Linked DNA regions of Schizosaccharomyces pombe. The protein of the gene in region 2 purifies or fractionates together with the protein of the main gene of each other region. This does not show direct contact. Each region holds a gene or a part of one and is shown on either strand. Other genes may lie near its edges. The genes, in order: rpt4 and scl1.

Region 1 (4,401 bases), on a different chromosome or scaffold from region 2:
TGCTCTGGTTGATGAGCTTTGCTCTCTGAATTCCAAGTTGTGGTTTTTTCGAAAATCAGTTTTAACGATTATGAAGACGACAGTATTGCATGGTCCTGGGAGGTTCTCGGCTCAAGTTGAACGAATGTTAAAGAACCAAATTTATGACAAGCTTTCAAACACTCAACTAGTGGGAGATTTATTAACTTCGTTAATCTTAAACGTATGGCCCGACGAAAAAAAAGCCATGGAATCACATTCGACAAGGGCACACAGACGTTCAACTGAATCTAAAATTTCCTTTGATAGCGAAGCCGATTCCCTTTTCGAAGAGGCTAGCAAATCTGTTCCTGAAGACCCTGTTTCAGTTTTTTGTGACGAGGAAAGCGATGAAAGTTTGAGATTACGAGCCGAAAAAACCCTTGTTGAAAACGCTTTATCTGAGAATTTTACTCTTATGCTTGGACAGTCAACCTCCGAGGAAAGCCTAAAAATTATTTTCGAACTGCTTCAAGAACCGCAATTCGTGCAAGGGTTCCTTGCACATTTACTTAGCAATGCTCTTCGTAGCATCATATAGTCAATCAAGGTATATCGCAAGTGTGCCGTATATTTATTTCTTTTCGCCGATATATACCTGGCATTTTAATGATTTTTACTTCTTTCCCTTTTTTATCATTTTGTTTCCCTTCTCTTACATTTTAAAATTCCATTAGCTTTTGGTCGATACGTGATGACCGGTTTCATGATTAATCGCAAAATCAAACGAACCTTTAGAACCATTCCCTTGTTTTCTACCTCGTTTGTTAATATTTTATTATCCTACTTTCTTTTATATATTTATTTATAAAATCGTATTTTCGACTTTACCTTGCTTTAAGATTTGTTTGTTTAAAGTTGGCGAAGTCGAGAACTATCTTCTCTATCTTTAGTCAAGTTTGCGTTAATTTATACATATTGAGTTTCGTTTATTCGGTTAATTGTTCGTTCCGTTTTACAAGCAATCTAGCTTTTTGTGTAAGAAAAAGTTAGACGTGTATATGTTTAGAAAATTTAGTTGTAGGAACTATGATATTAATTGACAATCATATTCTGACACAAGTGGTCAATTGAATTGGATTGTTCAACTTAAGAGACCAAGTTTTGGCGGATTAAGCATAATTTTTGTTAACAGAATGACTTGAAGCAACTACCAAATTGTTGACATAGCAGTACCCAAAATTTTACGAAGGATGAAATTTTTTAAAGCAGAAAACGTTCGTTAATTTTGAGATTAACAGTAATTCTAGCATCTTCAAAGTTTGATGTTTGCTCAACAAGTTTTTGTTTTTACGGATAGCGACAGGAGTGTAATACCTCTGGTTTCGAGAAAACTTAAATATGAGAAGTTTAAACAAAATAATAATGCATTTTCGGTTGGGGTTTCAGCATGAACTTGCAAAACTGAAAAGATACTCAATTCAAACTTCAAAATATTCTTTTAAAGAAAACTGTAGTCTAGTAATCATACTGCTATTATAGAAAAATATAATCTTACGCAAGAACAGATTCCGCTGAAATTCGCAATGCTTATTTAACGAAAACGACTTTAGTGAAGTTTTAATAATTTCTAAGAACGTAAAATACCGAGTAATTGGATTCCCATTTGCTAGTATGTTCTGACCAGAACTAACACATCTTTTGCGAAATAACCATGTCGGAAAGAGACACTGCTTTAGAGAAATATAAATCCTATTTATTACAACATCGAGAATGGGATTCAAAACTGAAGGATTTGCGTTTTGGAAATCGAGATCTAGTCAAGAAATATGATAAAACAGAGGATGATATAAAAAGCTTGCAGTCGGTTGGTCAGATTATTGGAGAAGTATTGAAACAACTTGATTCTGAAAGATTCATTGTAAAAGCTAGGTAAGTAATTACTCAAACTTTTGGGAGATTGTTTGCTTTACGTGGAGGATATATACAAGTGAAATGTGAAAATGGATGTGAAGACCTTATTATTAGTAATGCATATGTTGGGCGTTGAATTCCTTCATAAAGAATTTTTTGTGGCGTATGAATGGGAACCATGTTTAAATGCATATAATCATTTGCCCGTTCCTTTTTTTTTTTAAAGATAAGTTCAGTGGGCAAAATCTGTGTTCAAAAACTGTTTGGTTCTAACCTCTCCATCCAGCAAAAATTCTTTTTGAAATGCGCACACGGTATAAAAATCTATAACCGGAAGCATGAAACACTCTGTTTACTGGTTTCATAGCAAATCGTTGGGAAAGTAGATACCTCACGTATAGTCATCCTTCTCTTTTTACAAATCTATCGTTGCATTAGTACACTATTTTTTATTTCCTTTCATTATTTTCTGTTTCCCTAACCTATTCTAGCTCTGGTCCACGTTACGTTGTAGGTTGCAGAAACAATGTCGACCAATCTCATTTGGTTCAAGGCGTTCGTGTATCTTTAGATATGACCACGTTAACCATTATGCGTATTCTTCCTCGTGAGGTTGATCCTCTCGTTTACAATATGTCAATTGAAGACCCTGGTGACATTTCTTTCGCCGGTGTCGGTGGCTTGAATGAACAAATTCGTGAATTGCGTGAAGTTATTGAACTACCTTTAAAGAATCCGGAATTATTCCTTCGTGTGGGAATTAAGCCACCAAAAGGTGTTTTGCTCTATGGTCCTCCTGGTACTGGTAAAACTCTTTTAGCTCGTGCCGTGGCGGCATCTTTAGGTGTTAACTTTTTAAAAGTAGTTTCCAGTGCTATCGTTGATAAATATATTGGAGAATCTGCTAGAATAATTCGTGAAATGTTTGGCTATGCAAAAGAGCATGAGCCATGTGTTATTTTTATGGACGAAATTGATGCTATTGGTGGTAGAAGATTCTCTGAAGGAACATCTGCTGATCGTGAAATTCAGCGTACATTGATGGAATTATTGAATCAGATGGATGGTTTCGATTACCTTGGCCAAACGAAAATTATCATGGCGACAAATCGTCCTGATACTCTAGATCCTGCCTTGCTTCGTCCTGGTCGTCTAGATCGTAAAATTGAAATTCCCCTACCAAACGAAGTTGGTCGTATGGAGATTTTGAAAATCCATTTAGAAAAAGTCTCTAAACAAGGCGAAATTGACTATGAAGCATTGGTTAAACTGACAGATGGAACAAATGGTGCTGACTTGCGGAATGTGGTTACAGAAGCAGGATTCATAGCCATTAAAGAAGATCGCGACTATGTCATTCAGTCCGATTTAATGTCCGCAGCTCGTAAGGTTGCTGACCTGAAGAAACTTGAAGGTACAATTGATTACCAAAAGCTTTAGTGCACATATATCCAAAAAGCCATGAAATGATAAGTTTACCGATGAAGATTATACGCGCAACTGCATAGTTATGATTAAAAAGGTCGAATAGTAAGTGAAACGTTTACTTTTAATATATTCCGACTCTTTTGGCTTTTATCATGTATATATGAATATGCTTGATGGGAATCTATGTATATTATCGTAAGGCATATCTGTGATAGTACAAACTGATTTTCTTCAATATTTGATTATGTTTTCCATATCCTCCAAATACCAAACATTGTTTTTCCACTCTACATAATTTACTGGCGACAAAAGAAAAAATGATCAAGTAAAAATAAACAATTAATTATACACATGAATTAAAAGTAAAGCAAATGTTTGACTAGAAATTATTAACTAACCAAATGCACTGAAGTGTAAAGAACGAACTAAATATATTGAACGAAACCCGGTTCAAAAATGCAAAAATTCTTCTCTTCCCAGGAAGGATAGTTTGAAGTTATCCTTAAAAGGTAGTAGACCTTTGACAAAGAAACGAGGAAAAACGTCTAGTACGCTAAGATAAAAGAATAAGAGAGGTGAAAATCATAGCTGGCTTCATATAAGCAGCCAAACTAGTTATTATAGTACTAGATGAAGCTGAATGCGCAGTTTAGAAGTCATTTTATCCCATAATTTCAAGAAAGTAAAGGCAAGATAAAGATAGCCAGATAGAGTCATTGAAAAAGACGACGAAAAGGCGTAAAACAAAGAGCGCAGAAATGAATAATCTAAAAAATTACAAATGAAGTATTAACGTATTAAAAGGAAAAAAGTATGAAACGCAAATAACTGATAATAAAATGATTAGCAAGCTAGTTTCTTTAAAATCGGCGTACAGTTTCCCTCTTTTTGTTTGTCAAAGAAGAGTAAGCGTAGGAAATGCCAGTATTCCCTTTGTAAAGACATGTACGAAAATTAAAGCAACTGTACCAAGATAACCAAAGAGGCTGTTAGAAACAATTTTTTTAGACTTGTTGCTCGACAGTCTCAAATGCCGATTCAACAGGAGGCTCAAAGAAAGCAGCGTGTCCGAATACACAGACACAGGAAGCACCAACTAAC
Region 2 (3,654 bases):
TTTGTAAAAATCTCATCTGGTAGAATTGAAGAAAGACGTGGAGTTCGGTTTTGCAAGAAGTCAAGCGATGAATTGACTGTATTAAGTCTGGGAACAACTTTCTTGGAGTTTTTTAACACAACAGCACTTCCTGAATTAGAGTATTTCTTGTGAAGATGAATGAAAGTCTTTACATTGAAATCGCGCTGCAATACAGGATTAGAGAGCGGAAGATCACCTCCAGTAGTCCACATAATGTGAACCCGAAGTAAAAATCTAATATTTGTTAACAATTTTAATCGAAAAGTAGATTTCCGTACTTGACTGATTCCAAGAATAGGACAGAATCATACTGTCTTGATGGATTGTATTTAGAAATTACAAGCTCGATGGGGAACGTCGATATGTTTAGAAAGTATAGAAGTTCCGATACTTTTTCGAAGGAAGGATTCTTTTTTCTGAAATATTCTAAGTACTGAGTACGTTCACTTTTCAAAATTGCTTGCTCTGTTTTTGGTAACTCAGCAATTTTACGAAACAGTAAGCCAGTATGGAATTGATGAAGTAGTAGTAAAATAGATGTGACTAAACAAAAGGTTAGATTACAACAAATAGCTAAATCCATACTTGTCTGTGATTTAAGTTGATCATCACGAAATTCCGCTGGCAACAAATAAGCTGCATAGCTAAGCAATCTTTCTATTTCAGTAACTTTAAGAAATGACTTCTCATCCTTTAAAAGTTGATCTTCATAATATGCTAAAGGTTTCATTTTATGTCCCAAATGACTCGTCAGTATAAATAATAAACTTGGTTGCTTATTATACACAGAAGAAAAAAGGGAAACAGTTTTTTAGTAAAATGATAAGGTAATTAATTTTCGAAGTTATGAAGAATATATGCAGAGCTCACAACCAAAACAAAAAGAAGCTTTAAATCTTAGGTATACTAACAACCATAAATGGGTATTGTGATGAGCAAAGAAGTCCCTATATATGAAAAAAAAAACTAATTAAAAGGATACGGGGTATTATTTCCTGAAATTACTAAAACCTGGTACAAATTCGCAATTGCGTAGGTTTGGGCGTGGGCATCTGCAGATCTTGTTGAAACATCCATTGCTAATAAATTCAAACTCACTATGGTTAAATGCTTAGCATATGACTGAGTCTTATAACTTCAAATGATAGCTATATTCATTTATTTATTTTTTTTATTTTGTTGTATTTTCAGTAATTGCAATTTCTTCGTTAAAATTATCATATAGTTATTCATTAACAATGCTTTAGTTGTTTATCATTTAAACCATTTTATAGTATTTTTCTTCTGCTTGATTTATAAATTTTTAGTTTTTGGATTGTGTTAAGTTTTTTAATTCTAGCAAAACAATAAAATCGAATGCATAAATATTTTATATTTTGAGTTTCTAACAATTTATTTCTACATTTGTGATTTCATCTCAGAAAAACCATAATTTATTAATTTAAACGAATATCATTCCTAGAGGTTTAGTCTTTCATATCACATACAATGCCATCTTACATTTTTTCTTAGCATAGCTATTTTTTTTTCTCGAAATTTGAATTTTTTAATTAATCAACCAATCGAGCATCCTTTTCAATTATACTTTTTAATTATTTTTTGTAAGCTCAATGTCAATTCGTCGTGGGCAGCAAGTTTCGCATAGACTAAACTATATACTCAAAAAGTTGGATATTCCTATTCTAATAGATTAGATAATAAAATTAAAGTGGGAAATATCAGAAAATCAATAACTCATTCTTTTTCAATTGAATATAGTTTAATATGTTCGACATGCATCTGTTTACATTATAAAGAGTCGTAACGCAAAATATAGCGAAATCGAAGAAGCTCTTGTGCGTGTACTAATGTTCCACAATTACTAAGTTTCAGGTTATAAACCTACTACTACCAACTACGATGTCTCAAGCACGCGGATTTGATAGGACAATTACCGTCTTCTCCCCTGAAGGACGTCTTTATCAAGTTGAATATGCATTCAAAGCGTTTAATAACGCAGGGATTACATCTGTTGGTGTAACAGGTAAAAATTGTGCATGTGTAATCTCCCAAAAAAAAGTACCTGACAAACTTATTGATGCCTCTACCGTTAAACATGTTTTTCCTATTACTAAAGGAATCGGCTGTGTTATGACAGGCTCTATCGCGGACGCTCGCGCGCAAGTTAGCCGGGCTCGAAGTGAGGCTGCTGAATTTGAATACAAAAATGGATACCCTATGCCCTGCGATGTTCTAGCCAAAAGAATGGCTAATATTGCTCAAGTTTCTACCCAACGTGCTGCTATGAGGCCTTTGGGAGTTGCAATGACCCTTGTAGCTGTGGATGATGAGATTGGACCTTCCCTATTTAAGCTCGACCCTGCTGGTTTCTATATTGGTTATAAAGCTACCAGTGCTGGACCAAAGCAAACGGAAACTATAAACTGGCTAGAAAAACGATTCAAAAAGGACGGAATACCTTCAAACCTTACTGATACCGTTGAAACCGGAATTCAGGCTTTAATGAGTAGTTTAAGTACTGATTTTAAGTCTACTGAGCTTCAGATTGGTGTTGTTGAAGACGACAAACCATTTCGAGTTTTATCAGTAGAAGAAATAGAAGCCCATTTACAAAGTATTGCCGAAAAGGATTGATTGTTTAGACCGGTTTGAATGAAAGTTTTACTATATACCTGTAATTTCGATTGGCATCTTTACGTTCTTACTTTCCTTTATTCCTCCCTTTTCTTGAAGGGTTTATTTGATTTATAAAATCAGTATATGCCATGTTACGTCCTTCCTGATGAAAACTTTTCGCTTTTTCATAGAGTAAGATATGTTAGAGAAATATATTTCTTATTGAACTTGACATTAATATTTCATTGATTTGTGCGTCGTAAAATTTAATCTAAAATCAGTATTTTCATTCGCCTAATTGGCTAAATTAGGGCTTAAATGTTTATAAATATGAACGTTTCCATTGAGGCCCCCACAAGCTAAATTTCTTTTTTCTGGCTGCCATGCTATTTTGTTTAATGGTTTACCGTCTGGGATATCACTAGTTACCGGAGCCTCTACGTCTTTTTGCAAATCCCATAGGTTTAAATTTCCTAGTGCATCAACGCTTGCGAAGCAACAAGGTTCCGATACACACCATTTAACATCAAAGACCATTGCCTTATGAGTAAATGTTTTGCAACTGTTTATGATAACCTGTTCATCTAAATCATTTGATGGGACTAATTCGTGCTGGTTTCTACTAGGAGAGCATTGCCAGAGACGCACGGTCCAATCAAAACTACTAGTTAGAGCAAAGTCTTTATTTTTTTCAAGAAATACGTTTTGACTGTTTGATGTCATTACATCTATTCCAGAAATAAAGACATTGTGACCCTCGTAACTAACATTTGAAGGTTGTACAGCCTTCGTCTCAGAGTAATCAGATCTATAGCCCCTTTGTAATTTTCCATCTTCAGCTCCCACTAAAAACTCCATGTTATTTTCAGGGATAAAAGATAGACATGTAGCTGGGATACATTGAGAGCTAGAGTCGACTTGAGAAGATAAGCATATTGTTTCACTCGGTCTTGAAAACATGTCAGGTTCCCATATATGAACAAGACCATCAGTACTACATGTAACGATATTATTCGA

Evidence for each region.
Region 1: the proteins of scl1 (region 2) and rpt4 purify together in Schizosaccharomyces pombe (affinity purification with mass spectrometry, with the first as the bait; one study listed by BioGRID). This does not show direct contact.

Annotation. Positions count from the first base shown.
Region 1 is NC_003421.2:403,940-408,340, forward strand, and holds rpt4 (proteasome regulatory subunit Rpt4), read left to right. Parts: upstream 1-1,661; 5' UTR 1,662-1,672; coding exon 1,673-1,890; exon of another isoform or gene 1,891-1,944; intron 1,945-2,312; exon of another isoform or gene 2,313-2,363; coding exon 2,364-3,312; 3' UTR 3,313-3,656; downstream 3,657-4,401. Other genes in the region: mug122 (PX/PXA domain protein), read left to right, coding at 1-559; yip3 (Rab GTPase-binding protein), read right to left, coding at 4,305-4,401.
Region 2 is NC_003423.3:955,738-959,391, forward strand, and holds scl1 (proteasome core particle subunit alpha 1), read left to right. Parts: upstream 1-1,896; 5' UTR 1,897-1,920; coding exon 1,921-2,655; 3' UTR 2,656-2,900; downstream 2,901-3,654. Other genes in the region: Pex16 family peroxisome import protein, read right to left, coding at 1-255, 300-564, 607-751; meiotic dynein intermediate chain Dic1, read right to left, coding at 2,932-3,654.